4 linked regions of the Elephas maximus indicus genome follow. The protein of the gene in region 1 binds, or shares a complex with, the protein of each later gene. Links are inferred from orthologs where the notes say so. Each region holds a gene or a part of one and is shown in the gene's direction. Other genes may lie near its edges. The genes, in order: SF3B5, SF3A1, SNRPD2 and RBMX2.

The links.
Region 2: SF3B5 (region 1) and SF3A1 share a complex: the UniProt entries of both Homo sapiens proteins name them as parts of the 17S U2 SnRNP complex. The link is inferred for Elephas maximus indicus from reciprocal best matches to the Homo sapiens genes SF3B5 and SF3A1.
Region 3: SF3B5 (region 1) and SNRPD2 share a complex: the UniProt entries of both Homo sapiens proteins name them as parts of the minor spliceosome. The link is inferred for Elephas maximus indicus from reciprocal best matches to the Homo sapiens genes SF3B5 and SNRPD2.
Region 4: SF3B5 (region 1) and RBMX2 share a complex: the UniProt entries of both Homo sapiens proteins name them as parts of the minor spliceosome. The link is inferred for Elephas maximus indicus from reciprocal best matches to the Homo sapiens genes SF3B5 and RBMX2.

The regions. Positions count from the first base shown.
Region 1 is NC_064819.1:214,617,794-214,623,885, reverse strand, and holds SF3B5 (splicing factor 3B subunit 5), read left to right. Parts: upstream 1-4,834; 5' UTR 4,835-4,963; coding exon 4,964-5,224; 3' UTR 5,225-5,581; downstream 5,582-6,092. UniProt on the Homo sapiens protein: Component of the 17S U2 SnRNP complex of the spliceosome, a large ribonucleoprotein complex that removes introns from transcribed pre-mRNAs.
Region 2 is NC_064840.1:26,016,899-26,024,815, forward strand, and holds the start of SF3A1 (splicing factor 3A subunit 1), read left to right. Parts: upstream 1-4,910; 5' UTR 4,911-4,931; coding exon 4,932-4,994; intron 4,995-7,917. Other genes in the region: CCDC157 (coiled-coil domain-containing protein 157), read right to left, coding at 4,585-4,630. UniProt on the Homo sapiens protein: Component of the 17S U2 SnRNP complex of the spliceosome, a large ribonucleoprotein complex that removes introns from transcribed pre-mRNAs.
Region 3 is NC_064829.1:103,947,143-103,954,716, forward strand, and holds the start of SNRPD2 (small nuclear ribonucleoprotein Sm D2), read left to right. Parts: upstream 1-4,557; 5' UTR 4,558-4,639; coding exon 4,640-4,641; intron 4,642-6,754; coding exon 6,755-6,934; intron 6,935-7,574. Other genes in the region: QPCTL (glutaminyl-peptide cyclotransferase-like protein), read right to left, coding at 1,612-1,893, 2,985-3,128, 3,619-3,825. UniProt on the Homo sapiens protein: Plays a role in pre-mRNA splicing as a core component of the spliceosomal U1, U2, U4 and U5 small nuclear ribonucleoproteins (snRNPs), the building blocks of the spliceosome.
Region 4 is NC_064846.1:26,103,768-26,110,867, reverse strand, and holds the start of RBMX2 (RNA-binding motif protein, X-linked 2), read left to right. Parts: upstream 1-4,087; coding exon 4,088-4,152; intron 4,153-4,348; coding exon 4,349-4,464; intron 4,465-5,618; coding exon 5,619-5,670; intron 5,671-7,100. UniProt on the Homo sapiens protein: Involved in pre-mRNA splicing as component of the activated spliceosome. As a component of the minor spliceosome, involved in the splicing of U12-type introns in pre-mRNAs.

The DNA.
Region 1 (6,092 bases):
ATCCACCACAAAGGATAAAGAAGGACACTACATAATGATAAAAGGGACAATTGATCAGGAAGACATAACCATATTAAATATTTATGCACCCAATGACAGGGCTGCAAGATACATAAATCAATTTTAACAGAATTGAAAAGTCAGATAGATACCTCCACAATTATAGTAGGAGACTTCAACACACCACTTTCGGAGAAGGACAGGACATCCAGTAAGAAGCTCAACAGAGACACAGAAGACCTAATTACAACAATCAACCAACTTGACCTCATTGACTTATACAGAACTCTCCACCCAACTGCTGCAAAGTATACTTTTTTTTCTAGCGCACATGGAACATTCTCTAGGATAGACCACATATTAGGTCATAAAACAAACCTTTGCAGAGTCCAAAACATCGAAATATTACAAAGCATCTTCTCAGACCACAAGGCAATAAAACTAGAAATCAATAACAGAAAAACTAGGGAAAAGAAATCAAATAGTTGGAAACTGAACAATACCCTCCTGAAAAAAGACTGGGTTATAGAAGACATCAAGGAGGGAATAAGGAAATTCATAGAATGCAACGAGAATGAAAATACTTCCTATCAAAACCTCTGGGACACAGCAAAAGCAGTGTTCAGAGGCCAATTTATATCGATAAATGCACACATACAAAAAGAAGAAAGAGCCAAAAGCAGAGAACTGTCCCTACAACTTGAACAAATAGAAAGTGAGCAACAAAAGAAGCCATCAGGCACCAGAAGAAAACAAATAATAAACCAAATGAGAAAAGCATAAACCATAAAGAAAGACTCATAAATTGACTACTTTAAAATTTAAAAACTTCTGTACAACAAAAGATACCACAACAAAAGAGTAAAGATAAGTCACAGAGTGGGAGAAGATCCTTTCATTGCATATAACTGGCAAGACTAGTATCTTAATAAATAAAGATCTCCTAAAAATTAGTAAGAAAAAGACAAACATCCCAATAAGAAAATGAGCAAAGGATATGAATATGTAGTTCACAGAAGCAGAAACCCAATAGGCCAAAGAACAAGTTGGAAGATGTTCGACTGAGACAGATAGGGTTAACTGTGCTGGCAGAACAAAAGAGCTGTTAAAAGATTACCATCTACAAGTTGGGTAAACAGGAACCACACACTGTCAACATAAGGTTGAAACAACCTGTGAATTACTATCTCCTTCTTAGTGTTTTTCTAGTCCCTTCCTTTTTTTCCCCCCCTTTACAGGCTCCCGCATGCACATAACGAAGTGTGACCGCGATTTAACCTTTCTTAGCTCTCCAAACATGGTGATGTAGTGCCAAAGATCAGTGCACTTGTGCTATATGCCATAATGAGTGATGCCAAGGGCTGCCAAGAGGACTCCATCTTGAATATCAGTGGGTTCCATCTTGGATTCCAGATGCGCGCACTGAGAAGTACCGTGAAAGAAGCCCACTAAATATTCATTACTTTATTGCCTCCACCAAACCCATATAAGCCCTAGCCTTGCTTCCCTTTTCAAGTCAGCCTTGTGGAGGCTTAGTCCCCCAATGACTTCTTTTACTGGACTCAAGCAAAACAAAGCTTGCCGAAGATAAAGTTGGTCTTTCGCGTGTATTTTTACTCGGGAAAAGACAAGGACCCATTGTGTCAGATTGGCGATTGGTAACACAACTTTCCTAGTAATTAAAAAAAAAAAATTTAGGGATATGCAAATTAAAGCCACAGTGAAATGACAACCCACCATTCAGGTATACAAAATTTTTAAATGTCTGACAACACCAACTGTCTTAGTCATCTAGTGCTGCCATTACAAAAATACCACAAGTGGATGGCTTTAACAAAGAGAAATTTATTTTCTCACAGTCTAGTAGGTTACAAGTTCAAATGCAGGGCGTCGGCTCCAGGGGGAGGCTTTCTCTTTCTGTCAGCCTTCTCATCAATGTTCCCCTGGATGAGGAGCTTATTTACACAGGGACCCCTGGTCTAAAGGACACATTCTGCTCCTGGTGCTGCTTTCTTGGTGGTATGAGGTCCCCAACTCTCTGCTTGCTTCGCTTTCCTTTTATCTTTTGAGAGATAAATGGTGGTGCAGGCCACACCCCAGGGAAACTCCCTTCACCTTGGATCAGGGAGGTGACCTGAGTGAGGGGGATGTTACAATCCCACCCTAATGCTCTCAACATAAAATTACAATCATAAAATGGAGGACAACCACAATACTGGGAATCATGGCCTAACCAAGTTGATGCACACTTTTTGGGGGGAACATAATTCAATCCATGACACCAAGTATTGAAAAGAACGTGGAGCAAGAGGAATTCTCATTCTGCTGGTGGAGAGTCAATTGGTATAATTACTTTGGAGAGCATTTTGGCAGTGTCAAGCAAAGCTTGAAGACACTCATTTGTATGTCCTAGCGACTTTATTCCTGTGTATATGCCCTAAAGAAACTCCTTCAGCTGTTTAAGAATATACGTACAAGAATATTCATTGCAGTATTGTTTCTAATGGCAGTAATCTGGAAATAAACTAAGTCCATTAGTGAAAGAGTGGACATATTGTAGTATGTCCATTCAGTGGCAAACTACACAGCAGTAAACTTGAACTAAATTTAAATATATCAACATGGATACTGAAGTGTGAAAAAAGAAGCAACTTTTATAACAATACGCACACGCAAAAAGCTGTTGCTGTGGACTTGATTCCAACTCATGGCAACTGCATGTGTGTCAGAGTAGAACTGCGCTCCGTAGGGTTTTCAACTGCTGATTTTTTAGAAGTAGATCACCAGGGCCTTCTTCCAAGGTGCCTCTGGGAGGGCTGGAAATGCCAAACTCTGGGTTAGCAGCAAAGCATATTAACCGTTTGCACCAGCCAGAGGCTCCATAACAATACATACTCAGTTTCATTTAGGTAAAGCTTTTGTTTTCAGACCTCTAGGTTTCATTTGGCATGACACTGAGGCACGAGTTGGGCAAAAGTGAAGGAAGAAAATCTTTACCTGCTTGGCCAAGTGAAGGATCTCACCCTGGGTCTCCAAGACGCCTCTCTGATCTCCAGGCACAGGGGTTTATATATGGGGAGGAAACAAGAGGGGTGGGTTCTTCTTCAGGGCATGTTCATGGCAATGTTCAGGGGCGTGGTCCATCGGGATTGGTGGACAGCCCCTGTAATGATGTTGATATTATCCGTCAGTGCAGTGGTCAGTGCAGTGGTCAGTGCAGCGGCACTAGGGCCATGAAGAAGTGGAAATGCCAGCATAGCTTCTCCCAGCCACCATCCAGAGGTTTTCCCCCTTACTTTACAACATGTGTTACACTAACACCTATACAAAAACATTCAGCAATAGAAAAACAGGCTCAGGAATGATTAAATTCAGAATAGTGTTGAGTCCCTAGGAAATGCAAACAGTTAACATGCTTGGCTGCTAACCTGAAGTTTGGCGGGTGGGCCCAGAGGCGCCTGGGAAGAGAAGCCTGGATATCTACTTCAGAAAGATCACAGCCGTTGAAAACCCTACGGAATGCAGTTCTACTTTGACACACTTGGGGTCGCCATGAATCAACTAGAGGACAGCTGGTTTGGTTTTTGTCCTGACGTGTACAGATTAAGAACTCAGAAACTTGAAGTTTATTTGTATCGTTTTCTTTAAAACAAACAAAGGCAAAATAATAACAAAAATGGCAATGTTTGAAAATTCTGCTTGGTGAACTCAAAGGTATGCTTTATAATATTGTCTAAACATTATTGTCTACACTTTAGAAATGATATGTGATGACAAAGTTTAAACAGCAGAACAAAAATATTTTCGTTATCTCTCCCAATAAAGAGTTCCTTCTATTTTTTTTTTTCTATTTAGTTATACAGTTGTTTACCCTTTCATCAAATGTTTTTTTGAGACTACAATCTCTCCCAACTATTCTGCTAGGCTATGGGAATATCATAAAAGAACCATAGGATTCTTTTCTCAAGGAATTTCTATTCTCACGAGGAAACATTATTAAACCAAAAATCAAAGTATAAAGCGATAATAAAGAAGAGGTGTACGAGATATAAAAAGGAAGGAGTTTACATCTGTCTGGAGTAGCCAGAGCAGGCTTCAAAGAGATGCTTTTGAGCTGACTGAAAGGGAGAAGTGTTTGCCAAGAGAACAAAGGCATTCCAAATAGAACAGCTTGTACAAAGAACTGGAGACGCGAGCAGCACGTAACATTAAGTATAGGCTGGGGCCGTGTAGGATGGGGTGAGGAGTTGGAGGGAGGATCTCAAAATAAGAAGCTAGGGTGGAAGGAGGAGCTTGTGTGTGGAAGCCGGAACGTGTCAGAACTGGCACTGTACTTTGGTCATCAAGCAGGAAACGGCGGCCTGAAAATTGAAATAATTCCCTCAATCCGTACAATTTATTAAGAGGCAGAGTTGGGACCAGAATTCGCATCTCCTGACTTTAGGGTGATCGACCTCTGGCTGCAAAGGGGCTACCGTACCGCCACATGAACTCCGAAAGCATAATTATATCGAGTCCATTGTAGTGCTATCCAGTTTGCGTTCCCCATTTCCTCCAGCCCCAAGCCGCCCGTGGCCTCTTATAACCAAGAAGGGATCCCAAAAACCTGCATGCACGAACCCAGGGGGACTACAGTTCCAGCAAACAACGACCCCAGGTGAAACGGCGCGGCCAAAAGCCACTAAATGGACCATCATGCAACGCTCTACGAAGGGGGCGTGACTGTCCCTATAGGGGCGGGGCACTTGTTCTGTCGCCTAGGCAACCCCAATTAGGTAGCAGAATACGCTTCCGCTTCCCCGTCTGAGCACTACGGCCAAGAGTCAACGCGGCTTCGTCGCTCTGACGCCATCATCTTGCGACTGCGCGGGTCCGGAGATTTCCGTCTATCAGGCCTGACACCCCAGAGCAGCTACTTCTGTTTTGTGGCCTCCGACCCGGGATCAAAAGGGAACACGGCGAGATGACGGACCGCTACACCATCCACAGCCAGCTGGAGCATCTGCAGTCCAAGTACATTGGCACCGGCCACGCCGACACCACCAAGTGGGAGTGGTTGGTGAACCAGCACCGGGACTCGTACTGCTCCTACATGGGCCACTTCGACCTTCTCAACTACTTCGCCATTGCGGAGAATGAGAGCAAGGCACGAGTCCGCTTCAACTTGATGGAGAAGATGCTGCAGCCTTGCGGGCCGCCAGCGGACAAGCCCGAGGAGAACTGAGACGCCGCATTAACACCGCTGTGCGGGAACATCTCCCAGCGTTCCTCGTTTTTCCCGTCGTTCCAGCGCATTCCTGCCCCAAGAAGACCGATTTTCCATGACTCCGGCTGCTCGCGCTTTCCTCGAACAAACATGGTTACCCAGGGTCGTCCTGCCTGACCTGCCTTCCTGCTTACCCTTCGGAACACAGCGGTGGGAGACAATCAGGACTTCTGAGAACTGGGATCGTGGAAAGATCCTAGAGCCGGCAAGCGTTAGGGGAGGCGGTACTGGAGCGAGACGGGATTTGAAGGCTCGTTTTTTGGCTACTTGATTGCCGTTTTCGTTTTATCTATAAAGTTTAGAAATTGTTCACTCTCTTGGTGTGGACTACATGTGTTCGAGTGTGGAGGGACCCAGGGAGGGCTTTGGGGACTAAGGTTTCCTGGGAGGCCGAGCAGGAGATGACGGGCATTTCAAGGCCAGCATTTAGTGCCAGGCGCTTAAATCCGCCTTGCGCATATTTTATGATGTTCCCTCATCCCGAATTTTCTCAACGATTTTTTTCTACCGCCATAATACTGTCAGTATTGAGGTTTGTGATCAGTGTATCCCACCCTTTTCTCCCATTTTTGAAGTCTTAGCTGTCATTGTCTTTCTCTCTCTCTGTGTAAATTGCATCATCTTTTGGGACTTTTCGCTTTGTCGTCAGGACTGACAAGCTAGCAAATGAGCTCTTTCGTTCATTCAACATTCGGCAAATATTTGTTGAGCTCTTCGTGTCAGGCATTTTTCCAGGCTTTTGTGGTTTACATTATACAGGGAGCGGGGAAGAGCGGTAGGGAGGAGGCCAAACAAACCCAAAGCCTACCAAACAGAAAAAAACCGA
Region 2 (7,917 bases), on another chromosome or scaffold:
CAAAAGCAGTTGCAGCAGTACATTGATAGGCAACTACCAGAAATTCAATCTGATTCAGAAGAGGATGTGTGTCTTAGTTCTCTAGTGCTGTTATAACAGAAATACCATAAGTAGATGGCTTTAACAAACAGAAATTTATCCTCTCACAGCCTAGGAGGCTGGAAGTCCAAATTCGGGGTACCAGCTCCAGAGCAAAGCATTCTCTGTCGGCTCTGGAGGAAGGTCCTTGTCATTAATTTTCCCTTGGACCAGAAGCTTCTCAGCGCAGGGACCCCAGGTCCAAAGGATGCGCTATTCTCCTGGCTCTTGTTTCTTGGTGGTATACGGTCCCCATGTCTCTCTGCTCGCTTTTCTCTTTTATATCTCAAAAGAGAGTTATTTAAGACAAAATCTAACCTTATAGATTGGGTCCTGCCTCATCAACATAATTAAGATTATCCCATCTTATTAATATCTATAGAGACGGGATTTACAACACACAGAAAAAGCACATCAGATGACAAAATGGTGGACAATCACACAATACTGGGAATCATGGCATAACTGAGTTAACACATATTTTGGGAGGACACAATTCAATCCATGACAATGTGGAACAAGGGATAGCATTGTTGATGTTAGATAGATCCTGGCTGAAAGCAGAGAATACCAGAAAGATATTTACCTGTGTTTTATTGACTATGCAAGGCATTCGACTGAGTGGATCATAACAAATTATGGATAACATCGTGAAGGATGGGAATTCCAGAACACTTAATTGTGCTCATGCAGAACATGTACATTGAACAAGAGAGAGTCATTCAAACAGAACAAAGGGATACTGAATGGTTTAAAATCAAGAAAGGTGTGCATCAGGGTTGTATCCTTTCACCATACTTATTCGAACTGCATGCCTAGCAAATAATCTGAGAAGCTGGACTACATGAAGAAAACCGTGGCATCGGGACTAGTCGAAGACGTATTAACAACCTGCAATATGCAAATGACACAACTTGCTTGCTGAAAAGGGAAGAGGACTTGAAGTCCTTACTGATGAAGATCAAAGACTACAGCTTTCAGTTCGGATGACATCTCAACATAAAGAAAACTAAAATCCTCACAACTGGACCAATAAACAACATCATAACAAACAGAGAAAATACTGAAGTTGTCAAGAATTCCATTTTACTTGGATCCACAATCAATGCCCATGGAAGCAGCACTCAAGAAACCAAACAACTTATTACATTGGGCCAATCTGCTGCAAAAGACAAGTGTGCAAAAGCAAAGACGTCAATTTGAGGACTACGGTGTGCCTGATGCAAGCCATGGTACTTTCAATCACCTCATATACATGTGAAAGCTGGACAATGAATAAGGAAGACCGAAGAATTGACACCTTTGATTAATGGTATTTGTGAAGAATATTGAATATACCATGAACTGCCAGAAGAACGAACAAATCCGTCTTGGAAGAAGTACAGCCAGAATGCTCCTTAGAAGTGAGGATGGCAAGACTTCTTACATACTTTGGACATGCTATCTGGAGGGATCAGTCCCTGGAGAAGGACGTTGTGCTTGGTAAAGTGGAGGGTCAGTGGAAAAGGGGAAAACCCTCAATGTGATGGGCTGATACAGTGGCTGCAACAACGGGCTGAACCTTAGCTTCGCTGGTGAGGATGGCGCTGGACCAGGCAGTGTTTTGTTCTGTTGTACACAGTGTCACTATGTTCAGGCCAATTCAACAGCACCTAACAACAATAACAACAACAATCCAAAATACTCTCATTTCAACATGAAATCAATATAAAGTTATTAAGGAGATATTCTTCATTTCTTGTTTTATTAAGCCTGAAAAGCCAGTGTGTATTTGATATAGAACATCTCAACTTGGACCAGCCACCAATTTAAATGCTTGACAGTCACATGGGCTGGTGGCCACAGTATTGGAATGTGCAGGTGTGGAGGATCCGACACTGTCTCTTCATTTAACAACTGTGGACTGAGAACCTACTACACACCGGGCACCACGTGAAGAACTGGGGACTGAGGAGGGTACATAGAGCCATGTCCTCAAGGACCCACCATCCATGTCTGAGGGTCTCTTTTGTGGGTCAGCCTTGGGTCTGTGAGCTCCATGGGCTTCACCTACACGGTTGGGAAGGCCATGTGCGTCTGCCGCTTGGCAGGCATATGCATGCACTGTTCTAGAATGGGCCACATCCCTCACAGGCACTGACCTGTCATGAGATTTTGCTGCTCAAGAGATTTTATGTCCCTAAGGAGTGAGGAAAACACCAATGGAAAAAAACAGACTGAAACATTCTGGGTTTCCCTCCCATAATGGTGGGGGGTGGGGAAGGAGACAAATGAAAGAAGCAAGAAGCCCCAACTTGGGCAGAGATATATGCAGGTGGCAAAGTGCCTGGAACTCATGGGCTTGCTTCTTGAAGACACAATGAAACACCAATCTGTCCACCTTCAAATCACTATAGCTGCTATTTGGGGGCATCTTAGGTATCAATGCCCCTTAGATTCTGGCAAAGCAACGAGAATATACAATAGGAAAACATAACATTGAAAAACACCTAAAATTACTTTATATTGTTTTTCTGAAAATTGGGGATATGCAAATATACGCATGGTTTGAGAATCATGTCAAGTAAAGCAGACTTGATAAGGATTTTCTCTGTAATTCCTCAGCCTGGAGCTGCAGCCCTGCACCATCCACTGTACCTATGGCCACAAAAGTGATAGTCACCAATTAAGCCAGCACTGCCAATAGGTAGGAGCAGCAGCTAACTTGTGTCTCCTCAGCTCCCCCTGGCTCAAGGCAAGCTTTTTTTTTTTTTTTAATTGTACTTTAGATGAAGGTTTACTGAGCCAATTAGTTTCTCATTAAACAGTACACATATTGTTTTATGACATTGGTTAACAACCCCATGACACTCTCCTGTCCGGACCCTGAGTTCCCTATTACCAGCTTTTTTTGTCCCCTCCTGCCTTCCAGTCCTTGCCCCTGGGCTGGTGTGCCCCTTTGGTCTTGTTTTGTTTTATAGGCCTTTCTAATCTTTGGCTGAAGGATGAACCTTGGGAGTGACTTCATTACTGAGCTAAAAGGGTATCTGGGGGCCATACTCTCAGGGTTTCTCCAGTCTCTGTCAGGCCAGTAAGTCTGGTCTTTTTTGAGTCAGAATTTTTTCCTACATTTTTCTCCAGCTCTTTTCAGGACCCTCTATTGTGATCCCTGTGAGAGCAGTCAGTGATGGTTGTGGGGTCTGGTGAGGTAGTGGTAAATGTGGTCCATTAAGTCCTCTGGACTTATCTTTCCTTTGTATCTTTAGCTTTCTTCATTCTCCCTCGCTCCCGAAGGGGTGAGACCAATCTTAGATGACCACTTACAGGCTTTTAATGCCCCAGACGCTACTCACCAAAGTAGAATGTAGAACATTTTCCTTATGAACTGTGTTATGCCAATTGAGCTAGATGTTCCTGAGGCCACAGTCCCCACAGTCCTCAGCCCAGCAGCAGCTGGGTCCCTCAGGGAGTTTGGATGTGTCTATGGAGCTTCCATGACCTCAATGCAAGCTTTTGCCTCCCCTTCCATTCAATATTGAAGCCCCATTTCCCTCTCTGAGTTCTAGTACCCTACGTCATTGGTAAAGATTACGCCTACCTTGGTCAGAATCAAGGTCACCACCGTGCAAACACTTTGGAATCGCTAAAACCAGCTGTCAGTCTCTAACTCGGGGAATGCTAATTGCCTGGATCCCTGGAGACACTGAAGGAACCTTGCCTGGATCCTTGGAGACACTGAGGGGACCAGTGAAGACAGGAATAACAAATTGCACTTGTAGAGGAGAAAGTCTGGCCTGGGTTTGGATTCCCATTGTGCTAACTCTGAACTCCACTGTCCTCATCTATAAATCGGTTGCTAAAAAGGATAAATGATAGAATGTACATAAAGTGTTGGGCACAGGGTCCAGCTCATGGTGAATGCTCAGTAAATCCTAGCTGTCGTTTGTATTCTCGATTAATTATAACAACAATGACACAACCCAGCTATAGTGTGTGTATGATGGAGACCATCTATCACCCTTATTTCACAGGTGAGAAAACAGGTTCAGGCACTGCTCAGAACCCCTTCCCCGCATTCTGGAGCCAGGAGGGAGGGGAAAGGAGCCAGGGTTGAGGGGAAAGGAGCCAGGGTTGAGGGGGCTTCGGGAGGGGAAGCGAAAGGGACAGGATTCGAGGGAGCGAAGGGCGTGGTCAGCAGGGACTCACCAGTGGGGTTTGAGGGCGGGCCTATGGAGAGAGGAGGGCATGGAGAGAAGGGAGTGGAACCTAAAAAAGGCGGGCCGCGAGAAAGAGACCAGAGAGAGTTAGGGTCTGTGACTTTAAAGGGGGTTGAGGGGGTTGGAGGATGCCGGTCTAAAGCGAATAAGAAGGGTTAAGGCAGCAGGGAGGCGAAGTTTTGAGGAGGCGGTCTGAGGGGCCTTGGGAGGCGGGTCTAAGTGAGCGGGAAACAGGCGTGGAGTAAATGAGGGGCCAGGGAGGCACGGTGTGTGCGGGGAGCGGCTGGCGGGGAGATGTAGGACATCTCACCTGTCTTCAGCTTCGTGGCCTCAGCCCCTGAATCTGGCCGGCTCATGTATCTGGCCCTGGCACGCCTGCGGCTCCCTGGATCCCCGGAAACCCCAGGTAAGGCGCCCGAACCGCTGCCATGGCAACGGCGTCGCGTGAAACCAGTACCAGCGGGGGAGGGAGGGGAAGCCACGCCACGCCGAGGGGCGGTCCCGGAAGTGCGTCAGGCTCGCCTGGTTGAAGATTACTCGCTCGGCTGTCTCCGCCGCCATCTTGTGAACTCGTCGTACCGTCCGTGAGGGAAGGTGTCTTGGCGCAGCACTGCTGACCGAAACCAAGGCGGACTGGCAGCCCTGAGCGTCGCAGTCATGCCGGCTGGACCCGTGCAGGCGGTGCCTCCGCCGCCGCCCGTGGCCACCGAGCCCAAACAGGTACCGCACCCCCGTACCTCGACCGGTAGCCCCAGCCTAGGCCTGGGCCCTCCCCCCCGGCGCGGGTGTTCCTCACGCGTGCAGGAAGAAGCGGCCGTTTTGGAGGGACTACAAGTCCCAGGAGGCAGCGCGCTTCCCGTGCCGCGCTGCTCTTTGGTAACCAAGAGAATGTTGCAACAGTGGTTCTTAAAAGTGTGGTCCGCGTACCAGCAGCATGAGCATCACCTGCGAGCTTATAAGAATTCCGGGAATATCTGATTCCAACCCGTGTGAATAGGAACCTACGTTTTAACGTGCACCCAAGGTGATTCATATGCACATAAAATCTTGAGAAGCACTGATCAGCAGCCCACCCCCCCCCCGTCCCCTCTTCCCTGCCAGCCTCATGCCCAAACCAAAAAACCAAACCGTTGCCGTCGAGTCGATTCCGACTCATAGCCACCCTGTAGGACAGAGTAGAACTGCCCCATAGTTTCCAAGGGACGCCTGGTGGGTTTGAACCGCCAACCTTTTGGTTAGCAGCCGTAGCACTTACCCACTACGCCACCAGGATTTCCAAGCCTTATGCCCAGTAATCCCTAATTTTCCAGTCTGTACTTCCCACTTTTAGATGTTAATTGTCAGCATCTACAAGATAGTGTGCCAGGCTCTGAATGAGGCCCAGCTCCTGCTTTAGGGAGTTCACAGACTAATGAGAGAGACATATACATGAAAACTCAACAAATATTTATTGTCTTTGTCACCATAAATTACCCAGTTCACCACCACTTGAAAAGCTCTTAATCAGCTAAGGGGGAGAATGCCCATGGGTAATTGCAGCATGGTGGTCTATGCCCTGCAATAGGAGTATGTAACAGGGACAAAAATGGTAATTTAACCCACGCTGCTTTGATGGGGTAGAGGGGGGGTTAAGTAAGGTGAAGCCCAAGGGGTGAAAGATACATTGTTTTTAGAAGGATGAGTAGGAGTTTGGAGAAGGGAGATAGTATTCTTAATTCAGCTTTTATCCATTTATCGAGCACTTAGTATCTACTGCCTTGGGTTCAGAATACAACAGGGAACATAACCAGGCACTGGGGAAAAATAAAGTAACATCAGATAAGATAATAAGTGCAAAGGCACCAAAGTAGGCAGCCGATGATGCCCTGGTCAAGGTTAAATAGATAGTTGTGGTTGAAGTATAGGGTTGGGAGGGTGGTGGCAGGCAGTATAATTCTGAGGATTTGAACTTTTTGTAGACAGACAAAAAAGAAAAGCAGGATAGTGACGGACTGTTCTTCTACCATGGTGCTGTTAGGTGCTGTTGAGTCTGTTTCAACGCATAGTGACTTCATGTACAGTAGCACAAAATACTGCCAGGTCTTGTGTCATCCTCACAATTGTTGCTATGTTTGAGCCCATTGTTGCAGCCACTGTTTCAGTCCATCCCATTGAGGGTCTGTCTCTTTTTGGCTGATCCTCTACTTTACCAAGCATGATGTCCTTCTCCAGGGACTGGTCCCTCCAGATAACATGCCCAAAGTTTGAAACACTGAGACGAAGTTTTGCCATCCTTGCATCTAAGGAACATTCTGGCTGTACTTTTTCGAAGATGGATTTGTTTGTTCTTCTGATGGTCCATGGTATATTCAATATTGTTTGCCAACACCGTAATTCAAAGGCATCAATTCTTTTTTGGTCTTCTTTATTCATTGTCCAGCTTTTGCGGGCATATGAGTTGATTGAAAATACCATGGGTTGCCTTGGGCTAGGCACATCTTAGTCCTCAAAGTGACATCTTTGCTTTTGAACACTTTAAAGAGGTCTTTTGCAGCAGATTTGCGCAATGCAATGTGTTGTTTGATTTCTTGATTGCTGCTTCCATGGACGTTGATTGTGGATCCAAGTAAAATGAAATCCTTGACAACTTCAGTATTTTGTGTTTATCATGATATTGTTTATTGGTCCAGTTCTGAGGATTTTTGTTTTTGTATGTTGAGGTGCAATCCATACTGGAGGTTATAGACTTTGGTCTTCATCAGTAAGTGCTTCAAGTCTTTTTCACTTTAAGCAAGCAACGTTGTGTCATCTGCATATGGTAGGTTGTTAATGAGTCTTTTTCCAGTCATGATGCTCCCACCTTTATATAGTCCAGCTTCATGGATTATTTGCTCAGTATACAGATTGAGCAAGTATGGTGAAGTGATACAACCCTGATGTACACCTTTCCTGACTTTAAACCACTTAGTATCCCCTTGTTCTGCTCAAATAACTGCTTCTTGGTCTATGTGTAGGTTCCACATGAGCACAATTAAGTGTTTGAAATTTCTGTTCTTCGAAATGTCTATAATTGTTATGATCCACACAGTCAAATGCCTTTACATGGTCAATAAAACACAGGTAAACATCTTTCTAGTATTCTCTGCTTTCAGCAAGACCCATTTGACATCAGCAGTGATATCCCTTGCTCCATGTCCTCTTCTGATTCTGGCTTGAGTTTCTGGCGGTTTCCTGTTGACGTACTGCCGCAACCATTTTTTGGTAATCTTCAGCAAAATTTTACTTTCGTGGAATATTAATGATATTGTTTGACAATTTCTGCATTGTGTTGGATCACCTTTCTTTGGTATGGGCCAATATGGATCTCTTCCAGTCGGTTGGCCAGGTAGCTTCTTTCAAATTTCTTGGCATAGATGAGCGAGCATATCCAGTGTACATTCCTTTGTTGAAACATCTCAATGGATATTCCGCCAATTCCTGAAGCCTTGTCTTTCACCAATGTCTTCAGTGCAGCTTGGACTTTTTCCTTCAGTACCATCGGTTCTTGATCATATGCTCTCTCCTGACATGGTTGAGTGTTGACTAAATCTTTTTGGTACAGTGACTCTGTGTATTCCTTTCATCTTCCTGCATCATTCAGTATTTTGCTCATGGAATCCTTCAG
Region 3 (7,574 bases), on another chromosome or scaffold:
TTCACGTTTATGACGACAGTAAAAAATCCACTATCCAACTCTTTTGCACATTAACAACATACATCTGGCAGTAAGGAATGCCCAAGTGCAAGGCAAGAGTAACACTGGCTGTGATGGTTAAGGTTATGTGTCAGCTTGGCTGGGCCATGATTTTCAGTGGTTTGGCAGTTATGTACCAATGTAGTCATCCTCCATTTGGTGATGTGATGTGGTCATCCTCCATTTTCACACAATGCCAATTTTCGCATGATGACCTGGTCTTTGGAACCTAACCATGTCGATAAGTGAGGAGTGGGTGTAGATAACTGCAGTTGGGACAAATGCTTTTGAGAACTACAAGGTCCTGAGAGAGAGTAGGAAGGGGTGGGGGGCTGACCTAGCCTGGGGACGGCATTGAGTCTGGGGAAGGGATGTTTACACTGAGGTAAGTGGGGGCTGGCCCGGCAAAAGTAGATGGGGAAGCAGACGGAAGAATATTCCAGGGCAAGTCTGGGACCAGGGAAGAGGCCAGAGACATTTGAGAGGAGGCTGGAGGGGTTAGCAAAGGCAAATGAGCTTGAGCTCTGTTACAGGGCACTGGGGAGCCATGGAAGGAATTTGAACAGGGAGGAGCATGTGGAGATAAATGATTTTATTCATTCATTCCATAAATTTTTATTGATGTCCTACTTTATGCTAGGCAATATCCTGGGCCCAGGGCATATAGCAGGGAGGGAACAAAAGAAGCCAAGTCTCTGTCCTCAGGAAGCTTATTGCATTTGGGGAAACAGACAAACAAATCGGCATGAAGCACCACAAAACATGAGATAGTGAAAGGGAAAAATTTCAGGGTGGTTAGGAAGCCTCTTTGAGGAGGTGACATTGGAGTAGATACCTGAATGAAGGGTGGGAGCCAGCCAGGAAGATATCTAGAAAAGGACATTCTAAGCATACATCAGAGGAGTACAGGGGGCCAGAGGATAAAGCACCGATCCTCCCAGCAAGAATGAATGTTAGTTACCCCTTACTGCAGACTTACTATGATCCTCATCTCATTTAATCCCTGAGTGCATAAGGTAGATACTCCTATTATGATTACCACCATGCCCATTTTACAGACAGGAAAATTGAGGCTCAGAGAGATGAAGCCACTTACCCAAGTTCACACAGCTAGTAAGAGGCAGAGGCAGGATTTGAACCCGGATCTGTCTGACCCCAGAGCCCCATCTGTAATCACTACACTTGATTGCTGTGGGAGCCAGCCAAGAAAACAGCAAGTGCAGATATCCTAAGGTAGGAGGGAACGTTGTGCGTTTGAGAAGCACAGAGGAGGCGAGTGTGGCTAGAGTGGAGCGTGGAGGGGTGAGAAGTGGGAGATGAGATCAGACAGGTAACGGCACACCTCTAGGGTACTGTATGGACTCTGCTTATGCTCTGAATGAGGTGGCAGCCATGGGGAGGTTTTGGGCAGAGGAGGGTCAGGTCTGACATTCAGGGTGTGGAAAGATCCCTGTGGCTCTGTACGTGGAGTGAAGCAGGAAGACCAGAAGGGTAACAGACACCTAGGCAAGAGAGGGTGGTGGCTTGGACCAGGGTGGAGGCATCCCCCCACCCCCAGCCCTGGTACCTCACCTGCTCCTTAGCCCTGCTCAACTCCAGGTCAAGGGCCTGGGCCAGCTCCAGCAGAAGGGCACAGGGCACAGCCGAATCCGTGGCCCCCACAAAGGGGGTTGACCCGGGTGGGAAGAGCTTTGAGTCATAATGGCAGGCGAGAGTGAGGTGGCGGGCAGCCCCCGGGTCCAGCGTGGCCACCACATTGCCAAAGTTCAGCGGCCCCAGGGGCGTTGAGGCTGTGAAAGGGTCCAGCTCCACATGCCAGCCGGCTGTCAGTGTCCGCAGGGTGGCCTCCAGGAACTAGTGACAAAAGAGAGGTAGGAGGGTGGACAAGGCCTCAGGGGAGGCCAAGATAAGGCGCATGTACCCTAAGCCATGCAGACCTGTTGGGCCAACTAGCAAGTCTCATGTTTAAACTTTCCCTTGACACATTTCTACCAAGGACCTTCTGGGTGCCAGGCAAGATGCCAACAAGATTAATCACAGCTTACTCTTAAATAGCACTCAACGTGTGCCAGGCCGTGTTCTCTGAACCCTACAGAGCTCTACAGGGTAAGGATTGTCATGGGCCCTATTTTGTAGATGAGGAAAATGAGGAAACAGATTAAGAAACTAGTCCTTGGGGATTGTGACTAATGTCACAAAACAATACGTGTATAAATTTTTGTATGAGAAATTAACTTGAGCTGTGAAATTTTACCTAAAGCACGATTTTAAAAAAATAAATAAACTAGTCAAAGGTCAGACTTTTAAACAGCTGCACTGGGATTCCAACCCAGGAAGTAGACAAATGACTCTCAATACTTTCTGGGAGGTGATATAGAGATGTTCCAGCACCAGCTTTGGACTCAGCCTGCATGGCTTCGAACTGAAAGTCTACTACTTATTAGGAGTCCCTGGAAGGCACAAACAGTTAGGCGCTCAACTACTAGCCAAAAGGCTGGCAGTTTGAACCCACCCAGCGGCACCTCATAAGAAAGGCCTGGAGATCTGCTTCTGAAGGGTCACAGCCTTAAAAACCCTATAAAGCAGTTCTACCTTGCACACATGGGGTTGCCATGAGTTGGAACAGACAGCAACTAATAACTACAAACCACTTATTAGCTATAGGACTTGGGCAAAGTGTCCAACCTCTCTGGGCTTCGATTTCCCCATCTGCATAATAAAGATCATATTTATTGGTACCCACCTCGTAGGGCTGTTGCTTGTGCCTGGCATATAGTAAGCTTTTGATGGGGGTAGTACATTCTATTGGGACTGGAGTCAGATCATCTCCAGTCAGAGCCCCACCTCTGACCCTTAGCTGCTTTGTGATCATGGCACGATGCTCAGTTCCCAATTCATTCCCCTGCGGGCTGTGGAGCTTAGGGCTTGGAGGTTCAGTCCTGTACCTTTCGGACTTGAAGATTGCCGGGACTGCCGGGGGTCCGCACCACCAACAAGGGACGCAGATAAGCGTCCCAGAGACGCTGCGGATCCAGTTGCCCGACCACCCTCCGAAGCCGAGCTTCAGAGAGGCTTCCGATCACCGGGGCCTTGGTAGGGGGAAGGGTAGAGAAGTGCAGAACATGAGAGCAATTCCCACTCCGACCCTACCCCAGGCGCCGCTTCCCCCTAGGAGCCTGGTACCTCTTCATAAGCATCAGGGGCTTCTAGGATAAATCCTAGCCCCAGGAAAAAAGTCCCTTGATGTCCATCTGGTCCAGCCCACCCCAATCCTGATGGGGAAATCAAGGGCCAGGGAGAGGAAGGTTATCTTCCAGGCAGCTGATTTAGGATTAGAGCTCAGTCGCCCAACGCTCAGTCTTACCACTCCAGGCCCTTCCACTTAAGGGGGAGCCAGAATGACAAAACAAACCCGGAACCTTATTCCGATGGAAAGGTGCATGCGCTCGAAAGACGAAGACCGTGGCACCTGCGGTTAGGGCCACACCATAAGGCCACGTCAGTCAACCCGAGACCCTGGAGAAGGGTCGGCGGGGAATAAGGGCCCCCGAGGAGCCCGGGCCCCGCGCCTGGCCTCACCCGCAGCTCTTGGCCCAGCGGCAGCTCCCCGGTGCTGTGGTCCCAGCAGCTCCAGATGATGTAGAACGCTGAGCCCACGGCCAACGCCAGCAGCAGCAGGGGCAACAGCCGCGCCCGCGGTAGTAGGCGGCGCCTGGGCGGTGAGGGGGGCTCCAAGAAGCGCTCCCCGAGCCGTAGCCGGGGCCGCCCACGGCTCCCGGAACGCATGGCAGCTTTGCCAGGCAACCCGGTCCTGGACCGCGGAGCCGCCAGTTCAGGCCCAGCCAAGACCAGCCCCCCATGCAGTAGGAGGACCAATGAGCAACCACAGCGACGGTATTATCCCACCCTGGCGAGCAGAGGAACCAATGGGAACTCTCGGTCCGAGGACACGCCTCCCCGTCTCCCTTGGCAGAATTGGCTCCCCGGAGCGTTGCACAGCCCAAAAGGGAGACCGAAAGGGCTAGGCTCCGCCTCGGCAGAGGAGGGGAAACCAATGGCAAGGGTTCAATCTTGGAAAACTTTCGATCTCTCCGGTGCAGGTCCGCGCCCCTTCCGGATGTAGGCAACGGATTGGTTGTGCTGAGTCGAAGAAATTGATGGACGCGAAAATGAACCGTCCCTGAGGAAAAAGGGGCGGGACCCACCCTTGCAGCCAGGAGCGGATTGGTTTTGCGGAGGCCGCGCCCCCGAAGGCCGGACCGGCGGGTATTTGGAAACGCTGTTTCGCTGCCTTCCTTTAGCCTATCCCGTTATACGGCGAAATGGTTCGAGTCAGACCACCTTTGTTTTTCCCTTCATCGTTGTGAAGATTTGCCCCGAATGGTTCTGAGTGGTCTCGAACCTCTGAGCAAGGCTTTTATCCCATCACTAAGCACAGCTAGCGGGGATCGCTATAGCAACAGGCCACGCCCCATCCGCTGCTTGAGTTTGCGCAGGCGCTGACGGAAGTGGGCCGCAGGAAGCGGAAGTCCCGCCTCTCCTTTCAGAGGCAGAAGCAACGCGGGGGAGACAGGAGTGTCCTGAGAACGCAGCCGGCACCATGTGAGGCCGGGCCCGTACTAGGCGGCGGGAGTGGGGTTGAGGGTGTAAATTTGGCCGATTAACGGTTGGAAGGGGGTGAGAGGGCCCTTTCCTGATAACGAGTCGGGGGCAAAAGCAGAAATTTTATGGAGGACTTTTGATGGATGTGAGAACGGGAACGGGGCCTTTTACAGATGAGTTCGGGAGAGGGGACTGCTTTATCAGATAACGGGCTGGGACCTTTCCCAGGTAATTAGTCTTGTTGAAATAAATACTAAGAGGAAGTGGTTCTACGATTAAGGAACTTGGAGGAGGCGAGTGCGGCCTTTTAGGGGTAACGATTTGAGATGAGAGACTTAGCTGGATGATTTGATCTAGAGACATGCGGCTTTTCAGCCTGATTCGCGACTTTTATGGATATTGGATCACTGGGACTGATTTTACTCACCGAATATCTATTGGGTGCTCATTACGTACCAGGCACTGCTTTACATACCTGGAGTGTGTCAGTGAAAAAAATAGAAACTTCCCTCCCCCCAGAAAAAATGTCTTCCCGGGTGCAGCTTATGAGGGGAAAGGCAGGCAATAAATATAGTAAACAAGTAAAGTATATGTTGTGTTAGGTGAAGCAATAAAAAAAAAAAACCCAAACCCGTTGGCTATCAAGTCGATCCCAATTCATGGCAGTCTCATGTGTTTCAGAGTAGAACAGGTTAAAAAAAATGAAGAACGCCTAACTTAATAACTAGCACAAAAGGCCACATTGAGAAGATGACACTTGAGGAAAGTGAGGCAGGAAACCACACAGATATCTGGGGGGGGATCCAAGCAGGGGGAAAAGCAAATGCAGAGACCCCAGACTGAAAGCTTGCCTAATATCTTCAAAGACCACCCAGGAGGCCATTGTGGCTGGAGCAGGATGGGGGTGTTGCAGATATAGGGCATTGCAAAAACTGCATTTCTACTTCTTACACTGAGATGAAGGAGCACCAGTAGGACAGTGGCTACGCGCTCTGCCGTTGCTAACCAAAAAGTCGGTGGTTCAAAGCTCTCAGCTACTTCAAGGGAGAATGATGTGGCAGTTCTGCTCTGTCCTGTAGGGTCACTATGAGTCGAAACCGATTCGATGGCATCAGGTTTTTTTTTATCAGGTTTACACTGGGATGGGAACCATGGAAGGATTTCGAAGAATGACTTAGTCTTAACACAAGCCGTTGGGCTGCTCTGTGAAGAACAGACTGCCAGGGAGCAGAGGTTGAGGAAGGGAAACCAGTAAGATTCTAGGGGAGAGATGCTGGAGGTTTATGTCAGGGTGGTAACCGTGGTAAGAAATGGTCAGATTCTGCATGTATTTTAGAGGCAGATGACAGGATTTGCTAACAGATGGAATGTAGGTTAGGAGAGGAAGTGAGGAGCTAAGTTGACATTTGAGTTTTTTGCCCAGAAGAATGGAGTTGCCATCAACAGAGATGGAGGAGCTGTGGTTGCTGCACAGCCTGGGACATGCAATGTTAGGAATGCCTATTAGGCATCGTTCTAGTTAGGTCATGCTGCAGTAACACAAGTACCGCGAGTGGTTGGCTTTAAAAAACAGAAATCTATTTTCTCATAGCTCAGGAGGCTAGAAGTCCTTTGGTGGATGATCTGTAGCCCCTGTGTTCCTCAGTTCCTTGGTGATGTGTCTAATTGGCTATTTTTATCACTCAGAACCGATTAAATTTAGGATAGGGCCTCATTAACATCAAAATGAAAATCCTATTCCCAAACATGATCACATCCCCAGATATTAAAAAAAGAAAAAAATCCTGTTGCTGTTAGTCAATTCCGACTCATAGCAACCTCACAGGACAGAGTAGAACTGCCCCACAGGGTTTCCAGTGAGTGGCTGGTGGACTCGAACTGCTGACGTTTTGGTTAGCAGCTGAGTTCCTGTGATAATTCCAACACATATTTTGGAGGGACACAATTTAGTCCATAGCACGCATCCAAATGGTGATGCTAAGAGAGAGGACTGAGCTATAGGAGGGTGGGTGTGTTGAGGCCAGGCTGGGGGAGCCACTGAAGGTTAGGCTGTGATTCCCCCGTGCTCTGGCCCCAGCCCCTCTCACTCACATGTCTCGTGCTTGACATCCAGGAGCCTCCTCAACAAGCCCAAAAGTGAGATGACCCCGGAAGAGCTGCAGAAGCGAGAGGAGGAGGAGTTTAACACTGGGCCCCTCTCCGTGCTCACGCAGTCAGTCAAAAACAATACCCAAGTGCTCATCAACTGTCGCAACAACAAGAAGCTCCTGGGCCGTGTGAAGGCCTTCGACAGGTGAGTGCCTAGGTCTCGGGAGGTGTTCTGTCCAGGCCTGGAGAGCAGCCTACCTCCAATCTGAGAACCCTAAAGACAAGGTTTCTCAGAAGCCCCAAGGGCTGGCTGCCTCTCGTTGCCCCACCAGAGCAGTGGTTGTGAGCATGCACTCAGGAGCTGCCTCACCTGGGTTCACATCCCAACTCTGTTTGTAGCCACCTGACCCTCAGCAGGTCAATTATCAGTCGATTCCAACTCATGGCCAATTCCCTGTGTGTCAGAGTAGAACCGTACTCCATAGGGTTTCCAGTGGCTGGTTTTTCAGAAGTAGATTGCCAGGCTTTTCTTCTGAGGTACCTCTTGGTGGACTTGAACCTTCAACCTTTTGGATAGCAGCTGAATGCTTAACTGTTTTGTGTCACCCAGAGACTGGTGGCAGTAATCATGGTGGTTTCAAAGATTCAGTGACTTAATGCATGTGAAGTACCTAATCATTTAATACATGATTGACAGGAACTCATCCATGCCAGCCACTGTTTTAGGTCCCAGGGATACAGCAGTGACTAAGATAGACAGGTTACCTGCCCTCAGGGAATTTGTGCTGTATGTAGGTAGGGAAGCATGTAAATACATATCATGATAAACAACAAATGATGATAAG
Region 4 (7,100 bases), on another chromosome or scaffold:
GTCTTTCTCAATGGCACTTTATCAGGGATGCCTTCCTTGACCAAACACGTTTTATAAAATAAGAACACTCCGTCACTCTCTATCCCTTTGCCTTGCTTTATTTTTCCTTCATAGCATTTATCAACTTTAGATGTATGTGTATATGTGTATTGTCATTCTTCTCCAACAAGAATGTAAGCTCCATGAGGGCAGGGACTTTGTTTGCCTTGTTTACTGTTATAACCCCAGCACCTAGAACAGTGTCTGGCGCATAATAGCTGCTCAATGAATACTTGTTGAAAGAATGAATAAAAGATAAAAGCAAAAAAAGAAAGGTCATAATCCATCTGCCAAGATAACGTGGCATTTAAAAAAATATCTGGATAAAGGTAAGAAAATTCTAACAGTATAGAAAGGTCCAAAGGGAAAATAAAAACCTCTTTTTCTACTACCCTCATCTGTTTCCCTCAAAAACAAAAAAACCCGGAAATCCATTGCCATTGAGTTGATTCTGACTCATAGAAACCCTCTAGGACAAAGTGGAGCTGTCCCATAGGGTTTCCAAGGGACACCTGGTGGATTCGAACTGCTGACCTTTTGGTTAGCAGCCTTAATGCTTAACCACTGCATGAAACCAGTTGCCATCGAATCAGTTCTGACTCCTGGCGACCCCATGTGTGTCAGAGTAGAACTGTGCTCCATAGGGTTTTCAGGTGCTGATTTTTCAGAAGTAGATTGTCAGGCCTTTCTTCCAAGGTGCCCCTGGGTGGACTCAACTGCCAATCTTTCAGTTAATAATTGAGTGTTTAACCATTTGCACCATCTAAGGACTCCTAAGGTAACCATAGTTGTGTGTGTTTTTCAACTTTATTAACCAATTATTGTATTGGGTATAAGTTATGTGTGCAGGAAAGTGCTTGAGGCTTGAGGTGCTGAGAGGTTATAAATGCAGAGCCTTTGCCTTCCAGGATCTCATGCTCTTTCTGGGAAGAGTGCATAAAGAGTTCTGTAGTGAAGCAGAGTTCAGAAGTGGGAGCCATCACTGTGGGCTGGTAAGGTCAGGAAAAGTTCCTGCTGGAGGGACAACTTGATCCAGGTCTGCAGCTTGGGCAGGTTTCAATCAGACAGAGAGGGGGCTGGCTCTCTCAGGTATATGGGGCTCTTTCAGCAGAGGTGTCCAGGTTGGGTAATGAAAGGGGCCCTCGAGGGGAAGGCTCAAAGTGGAGCCTGACTGAAGTCGAGGGCCTGTGTCAGGGAGTGATGAGAGAAATCAAGACTAGGGGCTGGTATGAATTATAAGAGTACTGAGAGAGCTAAGAAGCATGTGATAATCACTGGGAGTAGGATTGTAGCCTGAAGATGTATGTGTTACAGACACTGCAGTGGTACAATTATTAGGACTTGGCGGGGCAAGGTTCTTACCTAGTGCCGCTGTAACAGAAATACCACAAAAGGGTGGCTTTAAAGAACAGAAATTTATTTTCTCACAGTTCTAGAGGCTAAAAGTCCAAATCAGGGTCTCAGCTGTGTTGATTTCTTCCCTTCCAGTAGCCCCAGGCGTTCCTTGGTTCCTTGGTGATCCTCACATGGCATCTGTCTTCCCCCATGTGTGCATGCCTCTTTGTCTATCTGCTTTTTTTTTGAACTCAATGATTAAATTTAGATCGGGTTCAATTTAGAACTCCCCCTGCTCAGGTAGGAGCCCAGGTGTGTAGTGGTTAAGCGCTCGGCTGCTAACCAAGAGGTCGCAGTTTGAATCCACCAGCTGCTCCTTGAAAACCCTCTGAGGCAGTTCTACTCTGTCCTATAGGGTCGCTATGAGTCCAAATTGACTCCAGGGCAATGGTTTTGGTTTTTGGTTCTACTCGGCATGACCTAATTAACATAACAAAAACCCCTATTTCCAAATAGGATTACATTGCAGGTATAGGGGTAAAGATTCCAACACATTTTTTTTTGGTGGGGGGACACAATTTAATCCATAACAAATGGGAAGACTGAAATATGAGAACCATTTTTTCACCCTGGGCAACCAGGAAAATGGTGATAGCATTGCCCAAAATAGGGAAAGCTGTTTTGGGGTGTGGTTTGGTGGTGAGAAGTAGGGAGCTGACTTTGGCTAGACAAATAGTTCAGTCTTTCTTTTAATGTGGGGACTACTTCAGCTTCCTTAGCATTGCCCAAGAAACTAGAGCTGAGTTCTGCATACAGTGGGTCTTAAATAAATGTTGGCGGAGATCACTGATAACCACCTTGGATGGCAAACCCTGGTCGTCTTCTCAGGCATTAAGTTCAGGGGGTCTTCTGGACCCCCATTGCCTTTCAACTCACACTTACAGAAATCACAAGGCATTATCTTACCTACCAGTTCTACCAATGGCAAGCACATCCATGGAGAATCTGCCTTTCTTGCTTCTTTATTTACTTCAGGTTCTCCTAAGGTGACCAACCATTCCAGTTTACTCTGGACTTTCCAATTTTAGCACTGAAAGTCCTGTGTCCTGGGAAATCCCTCAGTCCCAAGCAAACTGGGATGATTGTCAGCTCCCCCAGCTTCAGAATACTTCTGCTGAACCCACCAGCTGGATAGCAACTGTCTTCTTATGTTCTCCTCAACCAATATCACCCTTCCCTTTGGTTGATTTAGTCACCTTTTCTGTTCTAGTTTCCTTCTGAATGCTGATGACTGGGACAGGTGTAGCCCCAACTCTCTCATTTCATAGTCACTTGAAGAAGTCAACCAGATAATGCTACATGCTAGTTTACCACTTTGCAGTGGCTACTTCAACCCTACAACTAAGCAACCTGAGATTCCTAGAGGTAGATAAACCCGTATGCAATCTGTCACTGTTTAGTTTTTATTGCCAAGAGAATTCTACAAAGTTAATGAATAGCTGGGTTGGGATGAGGGAGGGGACACAGACACCGGATGTATGAGGAGATGCTGTCATGGATGGGCAGCCACTGTTCTGCTACTTGGCAGGACATAGGTACATGGTGAGCCACTTGAGAATACAGTTGTCATCATCATCAAAATACTTTTATAAAGGGCCTAATATCTGACTCTGAGCTAGGCCTACACAGAGAACTACATTGCTCTGGACTTTCACTTTTAAAACATCATGGTCCAAGACCAGATTTTGATGTGGAAAGATGCAAATGGGTTCAAATAGTGTTATGACTAAAATCACACATCATATGCCACCATGTTGTCTACTGGTTCCTGGATACTTCTGGAGTGACATCTATTAGGCAAATATATCTTGTCTCCTCAATTATATTATTAATTCCTTGAGGGGAGAGGACCAGCCTTAAACTCCTTTCTACAGATTCTAGCTGTACAGGACAAATATAGATGCTCAGTAAGCACTGATGAAATAAACCTCACCTGGTGGGTAGAGGCAGAGTACCTTTCAAGCTAATTAATTCCTTTGAACTTCAGTTTCTTTCTCTATAAAATGGGGATGATCGTATTATCTACTCCATGGGGTTGTTGTAAAGGAGAGACACGTAAATTGCTCAGCACATGATCTGGCATTGTTTAGCGCATTATCTGCTCAATTGTTAGCTCTTACTTTAACAACATTAATTTCTGCCTCCCACTCAAATAGGCGAGACTATGAGAAGGGTAAATGTAGCAGCTCTCACACAAACAGATTCAATTCAGCCTGTGGAGGCACAGTGGTCCATTGCCTATGCATTGGCATATTTTTTTTTACTTTTCTGCCATACTGCTGAACAAGAATACTAGGATGTGTGTTTGTGAGAGATGGTCTGGGAATGAAGGCCCGAGTGGGGGCTTGGACTGGGAGCGAGGGCTGGACAAATGTCGCCACATGGGGCACCTTTTTCATTCTTCATTCAGTAAATTTTTATAGCTAACCCAATCAGTGTGGGATTCTGTGACAAGCCAGCCTAGCACTCTTGCCCCATTTCACAGACAGATGGCGCAGGAGACTAGAGAAAAACTCCTTCCGGGAAAACGAAGCACACGGAGCTAGAAAAATCGCTTTCACAGTCGTGCGCAGGCGCCACGCCCCTGGCGCGGTCGAGCTTTTCCGGCGCATGCTCCGCCGCCTCCAATGAGCGCGAAGCGCCCGGGCTGCGCATGTGCCGCGCAGCCTCACCCGGAAGACTAGGTTTCGGTGCAAAGCGGGGACCCACGAAGATGAAGTAAGGCCCGACTTTCTTCTGAGGAAGCGGGAGCTGCCCGCCGGGAGGTGGACCACGGGGTCTGGGATGGTAGAGCGTCTGCGGGGCGGAGGGGTGAGAGAGGCGCGGAGGCTAGAGAGTCCAGTCCCCCTAGTTTTGCTCTCCCTTAGCTCAGCCCGGACCTCACTTACTTGTCTCTCTTCCACCCTCTCTGCAGCCCTTTGACTAAGGTGAAGCTGATCAACGAGCTGAATGAGCGGGAGGTCCAGCTTGGGGTGGCCGATAAGGTTTCCTGGCACTCCGAGTACAAGGACAGCGCCTGGGTCTTCTTGGGTGAGTCTTCTGGCTGCTTCCTGACATTTCAGCATTCTAGCTCTTCGCCCCTGCCCACATTTCATCATCCGCTCTTACTGACCTGCTGTCTGCTGTTAATCCGATTTTATATCTTTTTTCGCCCTCATTTCTAGTTTGCTTTCCCTGCCAAATCAATGCTCGTGAGCGTTCCTGTTATTGTGTGCCATTCACTTTCCTGAGAGCCTTTCACGGGCTTCTCAGAGATCATTTCTGTACCCCCGCCTCATTCCCGTTATACAGCTGAGGAAACTGAGGCTCAGAGAAATTAACCGGCTTCCGTAAGGTCACATAACTAGCAAGTGGAAGCAGCCAACCGCCCTCCCACCCCAAACTATCACCTTTCAAAATTCATTTTTCTTATCTAATTAGCTCCTGAAGAAACCCTGTTGGTGTAGCTGATAACCAAAGCGTCGGCAGTTCGAATCCGCCAGGCGCTCCTTGGAAACTCTACGGGATAGTTCTACTCTGTCCTATCGGGTCGCTATGAGTCGGAATCGACTCGACGGCACTGGGTTTGATTTTTTTTGTTTGTTTAATTAGCTCCTACCTTCTGTCCATGGCCATATCACCATCCCTAGATTCACTTTATGTTGTAACTATTAATTGTGCTAAGCACTTCATATACACTGTTTAATTTGTGTAACAATCCTGTGAGATAAGTACTAGTATCTCCATTTTACAGATGAGGAAGGAAACATGGGGGGCGGGATTTATTTCCTATGAAATGCCTAACAGTTATCTTTATAATCCTTAGTGTTTGTGTGGGTGGGGTTAATATGAACATATTTAAGCTGATTTTGGATCTTAGCTATAAAATTGTGGGTAAAGAGCAGATGAATTCAAAATAAGTTTGTGGAAACAGTTTTGTACTGGAAACTATCTGCTTCATGAATAGAATTTTGGGTGTGAGGACTGAGCTATCTGATCAGCCTGGTTAAGGGTGACACACACCTTTAATCGCTTCTTTTTCTGTACTTCTGCACCTTATACGTACTTCCATCTTTGCATCAGACTGTACGTTCTTTGAGGGCAGGGCCTGTGGCTTACTTTCCTTTGCACCCCAGTGCCTGGCTCAGTGCATGGTATGTAATAGACACTTGGTAAATGTGCTGAAATATGGTTTCCTCTTCTAGGAGGGCTTCCTTATGAACTGACTGAAGGAGACATCATCTGTGTGTTCTCACAGTAAGTCCCCTTTCATTTCCTGCCTTCTTTTTCTGTTGGTGTTTTCCTATTGATTTTATAAGAGCCCTTCACGTATTAAGGATATTAACTCTTTGTTATAATGCTTTATCATGTGTTATGTTGCCGTGGACTCATTTTTAAATAATTTGATATGTTATAATACGTGACCATCATTATTCTTTCTTGTTGCTCAAATTGTTCCAATTTGAGGGTCACTAGGAACCCTGTTGGAGCCCTGGTGGCACAGTGATAAAGAGCTCGGCTGCTAACTAAAAGGTCGGCAGTTCACATACACCAGCCGCTCTTTGGAAACCCTCTGGGGCAGTTCTACTCTGTCCTATAGGGTTGCAGTGAGTTGGAATCAACTTGAAGGCAATGGGTTTGGTTTTTATTGGATAGGAGCCCCGTCAAGCCAGCTTCTGTATTCTTTTTTTTTTGACTTCTTATTATAACTTTTATTTTGAAATAATGTCAGACTTAAAATAGGAAAGTTGTAGGGTAGTATAAAGAACGTCTACCTGTATCCCCTCCACCCAGATTCCCCAGATGTTACCATGTTATCCCATTGGTTTTGTCATCATTTCTCTATCCAAATCCGTCGCCACTGAGTCGATTCTGACTCATAGCGAGCCTGTAGGACAGAGTAGAGCTACCCCAGGGTTTCCAAGGCTGTCATCTTTACAGAAGCAGACTGCCACATCTTTTTTCCCACAGAGCAGCTGGTGGGTTCGAACCATCGATCTTTCATTTAGCAGCCAGGTGCTTAAACACTGTGCCAGCAAGGCTTCTTATTTCTCTCAATATGTATATACAATTTTATTCTGAACCATTTGAAAGTCACTTGCAGACATGGTGCTCATTTATCCCTAAATTCTTCAATATATATTTCCCAAAAAGTAAGGACATTCCCTTGTTTAACCTCAGAACAGTGATCAAATTCAGGAAATCAACACTTTGCATAATATTATTATCTAATCTATAGACTTTATCCAGTTTCTCCAGCTGTCGTGATAATGCCCTTTATAGCGAAAAAAAAAAAAAAGTTACTTTCTGGCCGTTTAATCTGTTAGATAAATTATAAATACGTTTTCCTAGTTTGTCATTTGCCTCTTGACTTTGCTTATGATTTGTTTTGCTCTGCAAAATTATTTTCCTTTTATTATTTTTTATTTCCTGCATTCATTTCTTTATATGTTTAAATTATATGGTAACATTGGTTTTTTGAGGCATGTACAGTTGTGTGAATTTTAGTACATGTTTAGATTTGTATAACTGCTCCCACAATCAGGATGAATAACAGCTCCATCCACCTAAAACTCCCTCGTCTTACTCCTTTCTGCTCATGCTTCAGTCTTCCCTCCTCATTTTTATTTGGTTACATTTATCAGCCTTTATTGTTTCTGGATTTTGCATCATAGTTAGAAAGCATT